Coturnix japonica: one gene and its partner. The protein of the gene in region 1 purifies or fractionates together with the protein of each later gene. This does not show direct contact. Links are inferred from orthologs where the notes say so. Each region holds a gene or a part of one and is shown on either strand. Other genes may lie near its edges.

Region 1 (6,572 bases):
TGCAGTAATAAACTGAAAGTACTGGAGAAGCTACTGGGAACTTCCTTCACCCCAGAAGGCAGGTAATCTCTTCACAAAGAGATGAAGATTACCAGCTTCCTGCTTGTTCTTCATCCAGCAATTCTACTGTTTTCAGTTGGAGAGGAAGAAGAAAGAAGACAGGTTTCAGCACAAAGTAAAAGTCTGTCTAAAAGATTACAGATAACTGTAAACCCATCTGCTTGAAGATGCTGAATACTGCACCCAAGAAATGGTAATAGTGAGAAGGGCAGATGGTGGCACTGCCCCAGATGAGCACTGCCACTGCCCTCCCTCCTCTAGCAAAAGCAGCTGGAGGAACTGTGAAAAAACCACCTCCTACTCAGCAGAGCCCACGAGTCAGGTTGATTCACCAGGCACTCCATCAGAAGAAAGTACTGCAATGCACGTTTCTCAGAACCCAGACCACAGCTGTATGGCTACCATTACCTCTGCAGTTAGTCACGCTTACAGTAGTAAAGTGTACTGCACTGAGGCACAACCAGTTCATCCCCCTCATTCCCCATGCACAGCTGCTGCTGTTTTTGCGTGTGATGGGGCAACTTTTCCTGGAATAGAAAAGCAAAATACAAGGCTTGATGAAATGCCCAATTAATGCAGCATGCAGACTCACAGCCTGGTTCTATTAAAATGCTCATTTTACTCACTTCAGAAAAATTAAGCTGCAATACAGAACTATTTGTTCTGTTTCTTGTCTAACTGCTCTCAATCTAGTTATTTTGGAGCCTAGTTTTTTAAACCCTGATTCTTAGGCACAGCAGTACCTGGGTCAAAGAACAGCCTGGTGATCCGAGCCTGTGACACAGATAGAAAGAGCCACAGAGTACAACTGCCAGCAAAATACATACTACCATTGTGCTTAATTCCATTACAAATTACCAGAGATGTGAGTAAAATACACCTGCATTTGTATTTTTGGTCAAACAGCAGCTGTTTTGTATCAAATCTTCCCACCTGTATCTATCTTCCCACTTCCTGGGCTTTCGTTCACATGATGCAAGACTTACAGTACATGAAATGACACTCCAACAGAACAGTGGTGAGTGCCAGCCTCGCTTCAGCCAGGAACAGCTGCTCTGTCTGCAGAGCTAACTCCCAGCAACGCTCCCCCTCCAAACACCACCGAGGACTCAGAAGCCAAACAGAAACCTGCTGCTCACCTGCACTGCTTCCAGCACACCAGCTCCATAGAACACACAGCAGCCACCTTGTGGCTGATGGAAGCCTGTGCTGCTGGAACAGCCATTGCATGGCTCCCCACTGCTCACAGCAGACCAGAGCACGAAAATGTGGGGATTAGTTCACAGGAGAAAAATCAACATGCAAACACAAAGGAGCAACGCACAGCTCCAGACCCTTGTTCAAATTATAGAATCACCAAGGTTGGAAAAGACCTAGAAGATCATCCAGTCCAACCATTCATCCATTACCACTAAACCATGTCCCTCAACACAACATCCAGTCGTTCCTTGAATACCCCCAGGGTCAGTGACTCAACCACCTCCCTGGGCAGTGCATTCCAGTGCCTGACCACCCTTTCTGAGATGTAATACTTCCTAATGTCCAGCTTAAATCTCCCCTGCCGCAGCTTGAAGCCATTCCCTCTGGTCCTATCCCTAACGACACGAGGAAAAGGCTGACCCCCAGCTCACTACAACCTCCCTTCAGGAAGTTATAGAGAGCTATAAGGTCTCCCCTGAGCCTCCTCTTCTCCAGGCTGAACAATCCCAGCTCTCTCAGCCTCTCCTCATAAGGCCTGTGCTCCAGACCCCTCACCAGCTTTGTTGCCCTCTTTTGAACATGTTCCAGGGCCTTGATGTCTTTCTTGCAGTGAGGGGACAAATGCTGTGCCCAACACACCTGCCTGCCAGCACTGAGTTCTGCAGGGGTCAGAAACTGCTTCAAACAATGAAGCCATGCCAAAACCTGCATTCCTGACAGTCAGGCAAAACCATTGACCTCAACGCACCTCAAGATCCAGCTGCTTGAAAGGTTGATGGTTCAATCCATAAACTGTTTAGTTTTGTATTTTTATGTTTAACCATAACTAGAGAATTCCTAACACCAATTTCACCCTTTCAAAACTCACGTGTGCTACACTTTCTTACTAACTTCATACAGAAAAGCTTGTAAGCAATCAAATATCACTGAACATAAGATGTTAAAGAGACATTCCTTGTGGCTTCGAGCCCAGATGTTATGGAGGGAGCCTTACAACAACCCAGTAAAGCTTATTTTAGATTTAATCAGAGCCGCTTTGTATTTAAATAGCATAACTGTTGGGGTGCTGTGCCTCAAAGCTGGAGGTTGAGCTTTTATTGCACCAGGTAAAGCCCAAAGTACATACGTAGAAATACAATGCACATCTCCCAAAGAGCTTGGTTCAGCCCTTGACCTCTCCAGAGCTCTCTCAGAACAACTGGAAGTCTGTTGGAGACAGAAAGCAACAGAAAAACTCTAAAACAGCACGATTTGTCAGAGGAAGTGACTAATAACACGCTGTAAAGAAAGATACACAGAACTCCCTGCACCACCAAAGCTTTTATGTAGGAACCATTACATGGCCTGATAGTGACAGGACAAGGAAGAATAGCTTTGCACTAAAGAAGGGCAGGTTTATGTTGAGATGTTAGGAAGAAATCCGTCACCAGAGAGAGGTGAGGTGTTGGCTGCTGCTCAGAGCTGCGGGTGCCCCATCCCTGCAGGTGCTCAAGGCCACGGATGGGCCCTGGGCAGCCTGAGCTCAGGGGACACTCGGCTCACAGCACGGAAGGGGCTGTAAGGTCCTTTCCAACCCAACCATTCTATGGGGCTGTGACCTTTAAGGGCCTTTCCAAGCCAACTACCTACTCTGTGGTTCTCTGATCCTTAAGGTCCTTCCAACACAACCACGCTGCAGTTCTGTGCTCTCACCCAGCGGACAGCAAAGCGCTCCCAGCACCACGCAGCACCGGACCGGGCTTTACACCCGAACCGGGTCCGCGTGCAGCACGGAATGCAGCGTGCGACGAGCCCCGCAGCCGGCCATTGTTCAGATCCTTCCATTTCTCTATCCGCGCGGTGAAGCTCAGCGCACGAAAAGCCCCGTAACATCCCTGCGGCCAGAGGGCGGCCACGGGAAAACAGCACCGTCAAAGAGCGACGTAACCGCGCCAAGGAGGATTTTAATAGGAGGAAGAAAGGGGCGTGAGGGGAGGGCGAGACCTCCGGGAGCGGCGGGAGGGGCCGCGGGGCTCCGGTACCGGGACAAAGCGGCTCCGTTTCCCGCCCCACGAGCGGCCCAGCGCCCCGAGCAGCCCGTCCGGGATGGGTGAGGAGGGGCAGCGGGGCCGCACTCACTTTCTCTGGGCCTTGTCCTTCTTGGCCTTGGTCCGCTTCTTCCGGGCCTGCAGCGCCAGCACTGAGAGGAAAGAGACAGAAAGAACGTGAGGACGGCGCGGAGCCGCCGGACCGAGGCCCCCCCGCAGGCCGCGCGGCGCTCACCTTTCCGCTCCATGGCCGCCAGCGCCGGGAGCCCAGGGAGTCCCACGCGCCTGCGCACTGCGCCGTGACCCTGCGCCGCGCCGAGCCGCGCCGGGCGGAGCATGCGCGGTGCGAGCGGCTTGGCGCTTCGCCCGGCAGCGCCGCCCGCCCCGTCCACGTGCCCGCTGTCCCCGCTGGAGGCGGAGCTGTGCGGGGAGCCCGCCCCGCCGCGCTGCTGGCTCCGCCCCCTCCCGCCCGGCGCGGGGCGGAGCTCCGACGGCTGCGGGCGCGAAAGCATCGTGGCGCGCGGCGGCGCGCGCGGCGGAGGGAGGGGAACACCGCGCGTGACGTCATCGTCGTAGTTGTGACGTCAGCAACCGACGCGTGCTCCAAAAGTAATGCATCCTATTTATTTCCACGGCCGCTTCAACACGTACGAAGAGCACAATAATGTTTGATAGAGCAAATTCTCACCTACAAAATGCTGCTTTTCGGTATAGTTAATGCCACTAGCTGAGCGTTTTTGCCTGTGATAAACAAGAGCTGTCCTGCCGTGTCCACAACAATCTGCAACAGCAGAGGTGACCCACTGACACGCACCCCACGCTGTGCTCACAGCCACTGCTCAGTGCCCATAAACATTAACGAGTGCCAAGCAGTGCCATGTCTGCCACCCGGAGGAATTCAGGGACACACCTTGGCTTCATTTGCACTCTCGTGTCACACACATCACTTTGCCCCCCTGCTGCTATGTCGTGCTTGACCAAATGTAACAGAACATTGCAGGGAAGGTTGAACCTCTATTGCCATACCACCACTATCTGCCTTTGGCATCGTGGCCCAATGTAACAAAATAGGAGGCATTACTTTTGGAGCTGCCCTCGTAGGCTTGGCATCAGAAATGTGGGTTGGAATAATCATTAGTGTCAGAGCAGAATTAAATTCAATGATGCGACGTGGAGAAGGATGCCCTCACTCTCAAATTTCAGCCTTCCACAACGACTGTGCTACAAGTAACACTGAGACCTTGAGCACGATGGAGTACACTGCTCACATCTGACAGCAGCCACATAAGAAAGTTCCTTCCTTGAAGGAGTCGCAATAGACCACAAACACTGCTGCAAGCTCAGTGTATTGGCTGCCTGTTCCTTCTGTGGGAACTGTTGTCCCATATTTGCACTGGGACTCTGCAGTTGGTCCTCACAGCGCATGTTCACACCCCTGTCCAATACTATGCATCACACTTCAGTGAATTTGGCCCTCAGAGGGATGCTGAGACGGCCCTTTGAGGGCTGGTGGCCCAAACACAGCCACCTTTCCACAGCCAGCCTGGCACTCATTTTTGAAGCAGAGCAAATGCCACCACAAACTATGCCCATACATAACCAGTTTACCTGGTCCTTCCTCATAGCTCCCACACAGTGTCACACAGTGCATCCTGTTGCCCTAAGAACTGTTTGTGCCACACTCTGGGCAGCTCCTGAGGTTTCTCTACTGCTTTATGTTTTCTGCAGCCATGTGTGAAAAAAGGAATATGTTGAGAAAATGCCAACACGGCTGGCAATGTTACACACACTTTGCATGGTGATGTTCTGGGATCTGCAGCCTGTAATTCAGCACAGTGGGAAAGCTGCCTGGGATTCTGCAGCATGCCTTTCTAGGAAAACGTCATGGGTTTATACTAGTTCAGAAGGACATTAGAAAGTTGCCGTCTGCACAAAACAGCTGCATTTGTTGCAACTAGGTCAGGTGAAAACATCAAACTGCCTCCAAACACACTACTGCAGGCAGGCCTTTCAACTCTGACTTTAGAGGTACAGGTGGAGTCCTTGGCCATAAAGTACGTGCTCTGTCACTGCACAGCCTGTGTCCAGGGATTTGTGCTTGGTGAATCACAGCAGCATTGTGTATGCATGCAGGAGCTGAGGCACTGTACAGCTCTAGAGGAAAACGACCAGGTTTGTCTGAACTTCCTCCCAGTGAAGTATTTGTTTTGAAACAAGAATACTCATAATTTGAAAACTAACACGCTGATGTCCGAGCTGTCCCCCAGTGTTCCACTCTGCAGTCTTGTGGTAGGAAGGAAAGACACTGAGCTCTGCTCAACAAGCTAACAAAAAATTCAAGTCTTTGGTTTGTAGTGGAACCTGTCCAGGTACAAATGCCATTTCACCTTAAATCAAGGCTGCCATTGTAGAGTCAACAGAATCTGGAAATGAGGGCTATGCTTTTCATGGGTTTTGTATTACACTGTTTTGAACAGACTGAGAGGAGCTTGGCATGAAGCCACTGTCCAAAACAATGTAGGGAAGCATATGTGGTTTGAAAATTACTCAATACCATTTGAGCTTTCAGTTTTTCCTATCTTTCAGTCCAAATGGTACGAGGGCTCCAGCACTGTTTCCTCTGCAGTAACTTGGCACAGTTCACCAAAATCCGTTACCATTGTAGATCACACATGCAGAACAGCAGATTCCCTTGGGAAACTCCTTGGAAGCAGAAAGTTAAATTAGAAAGAAAAAAAAAAAATATGGATGAAAGGAACTCACTGGAACACATTGCAGATAGTCTAATATTAATATTCCCATTAGACATTGTATCATTGCTGAAGTTTAGCAGCCATGAGCAGCAGATTTCAGAGGAACCATCTTGCTTTTATTCCACACCAAGAAACCATATGATGCCCAGCAGCAAAAGTTAAAGCTGTTCATATAGGAAGGAATTTAGCCCAGAACATAGGATCTGTATATAAAAGATCCATCATTTACATCCCAGTTTTGCATTAAAATGGGGTCTGATTGGTATACAAACAAATGTTGTCCACTCATCTAAAATTAATTTTACCTGTGACTCTCTACAATGGGCACTCTGTGCCATGGAACAACTAAGGACATGGCAGAGTTCTGTGACATACATTGCTGGTATAGTTAAACATTGCTGCTGTTAGTACAACCCTAGCTCAGACTGATGCAGAAAATATGAGTAAGCTGAATTTTTATTCCCAAGTGTTACCGGTATCTTATTCTACAACTTTTTCTGTCTCTTCAGAACAAAATAAATACCTTCCTCCA
Region 2 (5,916 bases), on another chromosome or scaffold:
TCTTGCATACACAGGAAAAAACAAAGTTGACCAAGAGATTAAATGACTTACTCAAATCCACTCAGTCACTTAAAGAGTTAGAAACAACACTCAGCTCCTAATCTCACATTTTAGCCAGCAGACCATGGTTACTTACTAATAAATCACTACTAGGTACCATAAAAGAAGTTTTAGATATAAATCACTACTGTTTGTGAGTGATTTCCATTTGCTAAGAGGATTTGGCAAAAGCCAAGGAGCTTGAATGGCTCACAAAATGTATCAAAACACACAAGATACAGATTAACTTTCTTCACACAATATCTATCACTATTTCCACTTTCTCTGGAAATAACTTAGCACATACATTCATAAATGGAGGGAAAAAGCATTTAATTTCCACAAAGCTTTCCTTCTAAGAGAATGATCATTTTGAAATATCTCATAAAATGTAGTTAAATGAACCACGGAAATACTCACAGCTGATGGCATTACTTTATTTTTTGATAGTGACAAGAACATATCACAAACACTGAAACTACCATTACAACAGCTTGACTCAATGGCAGGTTTTAACTTTTAAGACATTCTTCTGCTCTAGGCATCATTATCACTACGGTCATCACTTCTAAGATTACAGTTTTGTATCTGCAGTTATACCTCCCTCATATGCTCACATATAGGCTTTAAAAATTCAGGTTGGTGTTTAAAAATATGGTAAGCAGAGATATAGGCATAATTGATTAGAAAATCCAAACATTTCTTTTTAATAGTGATTTGTAAGACTTCTGATGGCTTTCTTAAATAAGCCTCATGGGAAAACAAATGAAGTGCATAAGTACTAAACTGTTATAAAACCACACCGACTCACATTCCAAGAGATCAGCTAGAGTTTTAGTTCGAAGAGCTACGGGTCTTTTTGTCTTGTCATTAGTGATGGCGAACTCTTGCATTCCCAGCTCTTCTGCCACTTTGGCCTGCGTCCTGTTGTTCACCAAAGAGCTTCTCAACAGCTGCAATAGAAGGAATTCCACACAATGGTAACAAATAGCAATACCAAAATATAAAAGGCAGTGAGAGCTGGGGGAAGTTACTCAGTTTATTTTTGCTGCCACTCACTTCCCAGTCTATTGGTGTTTGTTTCAGCACATCCTAAATTATTTAGGTAGACGCACACACATACACACACACACACACACTTCTTCGCATCCTCATTCTTTCTACTGCTGATTTTTCCCTTATGTTTCACTTCTCATCAGATTTTAATCCTTTTTATCTCAAAACATGTTCCTTCTACAGACAAGTCTTACATTTAGAATGCTGGTTTGAGAGTTTTTTTGCATTCACATACCATCTCTTCATCAGTCCTATACTTTCTACTTTTTCCTACTGTACACAAAGTTATACAAACTTTTTCCCACACGAAGTATAAACACACAACACTTGTGAGACTACAGCACAATCCCAAACGTCCACCAAACAAGAAGTGGGCAGTAATTGAAACAAACACACACTGAAGCAAAACTTCAGAAGTTTCAGAAGCAGCAGGTGAGAAAGATGCTCCATTCATTTGGGCAGAGAAGAAAATGCTTATCTGGATAGCCCATTTGCAATATCACACTGTTCTACTGAAGGCAGCATAGCTGAACTAATATATCCCTGATGTAGATCAGGCTCTAAAATTTTTAATGTGTGACAATGCCCAGGATATCTAGTTCTCTAGCAGAGTCTCCAAAGTGCTTACCTCTGATTTTAGGCAGATTGCTTAAATAAACAGAAACCTGTCAAACATAAAATCTCAGATAGCTGAAAGGAGAATTTCAGACTTTCAGGATTCCATTCAATTTCCCAAATGCCTAATAAAGATGAGCTTTATTTTTTTATTTTTTATTTTTTTATTAGATATAGCCATTTAATAAATTCCACTCTTATCCAGAGTCCTGAAGCTGCGTACAACATTTTTACCTCTTTGTCTTCCATGTCACATTTGCACAGCTTATTAGTTCCAAGTTATATTCTACCTGGCTCCAAAATGTCAACTGAGCTTATGAAAATAAAGATTTATTCACTACACTTGATACTTCATCTCTGACAATGGATAAATAAAGAACAGTATGTTCATAATTTGTTCGGCAATGATGTATGAAGCAGATACTCACAGCCTGATCTTCATAAACTAGGCAGACTGCAGAAAGGATTAATACCTTTCTTCCTAACCTATGCTAAAACTCATCTTCTGTTTGCTCCTTTCCAAAATCATTCCTTTTTATGTCCTTAAGACAAACAATCAGTATTATTCCCAACCTAATCCTAACTACAGTATGCAACCTATAAGAAAGAAGCCCAACAAAAATCAAATGACAATTATCAGCTTCTTGAAATGAGAGAACCACAATTTATTTTGCTGCACTGGCAGAATATTTACTGCAACACATCCCAAATCCATGATTAGTACTATCATAAAAGAACCACATACACACTACACAGAGAATTAGAGATGACAAGAGTCAGTTGTACTACTTACTACCCATGACTGCAGCATAAACACTGCTGGAGAAGTAGCTTCCAGTACACAACAAAATTTCATTGTTTTGCTTTTTTTTGACAGATCATTTAGCTGCCTCAAAAAACATCTATAAAATTGCAATCCCTTTTTCTTATATATAGTTAATTTTGACTTTTCTTCACAAGAAATCACTGGATATCAGAAAGACACTGCATAGCCAGTCAAGCAGAATCTTCCCATCACTTACCAACATTGTCTGCAACACTATAGACACTCATCTGTCTGATGTTTCACTACTTCAAATCTCCCCAGGAGGACGGAACCTCATGTTTGCTGTTTCTCTTCAGGTCTCACATCATCCGTCTACTCTTCTCAAGCCTCATTTCATTTGTCCTCATACTTAAAAGACTTTCAAAGACTATTTTCTTTTCTACTGTACAAAACCACAAAATTAATTTTTTTTTTCTAGGCACTGCCTACCTCTCTGTATTGTTATGCACTTTCAGCATTCATTCTACTCTTTGTAGTTTCCCCTGAATCTTGGGCAATGTGCAGCTTGTTCTACTTGCCAATTCACTTATCATTAAATTAAGCAACACAGAGACATTCTGATCGCCGTTCGAGTATTTACACCCATTAACAGCAACACTATGTCCTTCCTGCCAAGCAATTCCTGAAAGATTTATCTTACTATAACAACACTGATGCCCACATTCTTAAAAGTCACCTACAAAGGGAAAAAAAACTGCAAATCTGGATTTCTGCCTTCTGTTTTTGTTTCCTCTGTGAAAAATTAATGACAAGCCTCTTTCCCTTTTAATTTTTACATCAAAAGATCAGGCTTTATCAACTCCTCCTGAACATTGCAGAACAATTCATACAAATGCAAATGAAAGTCAAGAAATGGTAACGAAAAATGAAAATGGGAGCACACATACTTTCTGTTTCTTGAAAACAGCTAAGCAGTGTTTTCTTCAGGAATCTGTCAGAGATTTAGCATCTCCAACTCTTCACTGATTTAAAAAATCCACTTGCAGTAGCAAAGACATCCAAAATATTACTCCCTAATTTTAACTAGAGAACTTGACGTATATCCATAATACATGTAACAATTTTTTAATCTCATAATGACTTGAAAACTAAGAAAAATTCAGAAACATTAAGGAGAGTGTCATCTTCTCATAGTGCTTAATACGAGCTGCAGTACTAAAAGATTCAGTTAATCAGGAGAAAAAGCTACATATCTCACAACCCTATATTTACAGTAGTGTATGTTACTGTAACACTAAAACTAAATTCCAAAGTAACTACAGGGGATCCATATTAAAAGCAATAGGTAAAAAATAGTAAAACATAGTGAGAATTTACTGTCTGGAAAGGAAACTCTACTACCTTGTTGCAGGTTCAATGGAAAATGAAAAAGCACTTATGTGCGTATTTAAATAAATGGCTTTAAACATGTCTTTAAGTATGACCTAATCTTTTCTCTCAGTTTTATAACTGACATCCTTAAAATTATTGATTCATTCCGCAGACAACAAAAATTATTGCACTGAGCTCATAAATCACCATTTCCTACTCACTGCACAACACATGACTTAAAATTAACCAAGTCTTATTAAGAACAGTGGCTGCTGGGGCTTCTTTTATTAATCAAATCTAGAATAATTCACTTGCCACTTCCATAATTTCAGTCTCCATCCCGCACTTGCTTTCCCAGAGACCATGATTGATGGCAGTCTCACCGTTAAGTGCCCTTCATGATGATCGGGGAAATGTATGAATAAATACTCTGTGGCTACCAACTGCATTATGGAGTCACCCAGGAATTCCATCCTCTGATTGTGGCCTCTGAAAAATGAGACATCAATGCAGCAAAATCAATAAGTACTCAGGGAGGAAAAAACAAAAGCAGCATGCATATAGAAATTAAAATAAAGAATGATCTGAAAGCCAATGTTACTTGTTTTTAAACACTTTTAAGACAGATTTCCAGCATTAACACTAGTGAGACGAAAACAACAGAAACTGTTGTAACTCTGACTTTGACTTAGAAAGCAAATCAGGGTAGCACAGTTATTAGATCACAGGTCTAGGACATCTGCTGACATCAGGTTTGTTATGGGATGAAGTCTCTAATTGTCTCTACCCAGTGAGTGCAATGACTTCAGTAGAGAAGAAATTTTGTCCTTTCACAAGAAATAGAAGGATCAGGGTTTAAACCCATGTGAGAGCTTGGACTAGGTATCCACTGGTACAACTATTTTCTTTACAATAGGTTATAGCAGTTAGACACCCAAAGCCAACTGCATGTTTATGTGCTGTACACTCAGCAGAATACAAGGGCTGTAGTTGTCCCCAAAAGCATGACTTTACTTTTTGCCTCTGGCCAAGTGTATCTTCAAGCACATTCGGATAGTTTCAGGAGCAATAACCCAAAGTCAACAGTCCAGGAAGCTCAGAAGATACACCAGTATGGTTCCCTAACACCCACAGAATTCCCAAATTATTCACTACTACAGAGACAGGATACTCAGTGACACAGGCTGGTGAACATTTCTGATCTTCCTCTTCTGGAGAACACACAGATAACCTAGAGTTTGTCAACAAATAAAGCAATGTGGTCTACTAACAGTAGAGCCATTGAGCCCTAAGAGGGCCCTTGCCACATACTCACAGAGTCAGATGGTTAAAGCCTACTGTCCTCAGAGTGAACGCACGTGCTAGAAGTCGAACATGAGTAAAGATGACTCCAATTGCCTCCTCAAACTCTGTAAGCTTTTGAAGAACTGGAGAGGTCTCAATGAGTTGCCTGTCAGTATTAGATTCCTGCAGCTGTAAATAAGATGAAAAGTGAGCAATGACAAACTGGTACTTCAAGATATTTCAAAGTATTTCAAGAATATTTCAAAAGAAAAACAAATGTTTTGTAAAACAAAGTCAGAGAACCCAGTGAACAAGGATTTTTGTGGACAGCTCAAATGAGAAAAGCCAGTTTCCTCTGGGTTTTTTTCTTTCATAATTAGCATTAAAAGAAAACATGAGGTCTGATGAACTTGCTTGAGATTTTTTTTGCCTGTTGGTTTTGGCATTTGTTGGTGTTTTTTTTTAAAGCAACACTTGAGGTATTTATAATTGCTTATATATTGCTTATATGGTCTTGCCCCATGTGAGTAGCATGACAATGAAGCAAGATGAGAAAAATGAAACAAATCTATTTCTCCCGCTTTAGTATTAAAAATGAAGTAGTGTATAAAATTCACAAAAACAAGAAAATTAAAAAGATAACTTTATGTCAGTAAGTGTTCTTATCAGTTTCTTGTCTGATGTCCCTGATGTGTGACATTGTAAATGGCTTCCCAGGACAGGGAAATTACTTAAGCATTTCCTCCAGCAACCCTAGACATTTGTCTTGTATACCAATGCCTTAG

The links. The genes of interacting proteins can lie anywhere in the genome.
Region 2: the proteins of SRPK1 (region 1) and DROSHA purify together in Homo sapiens (affinity purification with mass spectrometry; 3 studies listed by BioGRID and IntAct, counting the BioPlex papers as one, with this or other methods). This does not show direct contact. The link is inferred for Coturnix japonica from reciprocal best matches to the Homo sapiens genes SRPK1 and DROSHA.

The regions. Positions count from the first base shown.
Region 1 is NC_029541.1:495,687-502,258, forward strand, and holds the start of SRPK1 (SRSF protein kinase 1), read right to left. Parts: upstream 3,815-6,572; 5' UTR 3,800-3,814; coding exon 3,523-3,799; intron 3,440-3,522; coding exon 3,379-3,439; intron 1-3,378. UniProt on the Homo sapiens protein: Serine/arginine-rich protein-specific kinase which specifically phosphorylates its substrates at serine residues located in regions rich in arginine/serine dipeptides, known as RS domains and is involved in the phosphorylation of SR splicing factors and the regulation of splicing.
Region 2 is NC_029517.1:60,510,778-60,516,693, forward strand, and holds part of DROSHA (ribonuclease 3), read right to left. Parts: intron 5,321-5,916; coding exon 5,163-5,320; intron 4,337-5,162; coding exon 4,231-4,336; intron 993-4,230; coding exon 851-992; intron 1-850. UniProt on the Homo sapiens protein: Ribonuclease III double-stranded (ds) RNA-specific endoribonuclease that is involved in the initial step of microRNA (miRNA) biogenesis.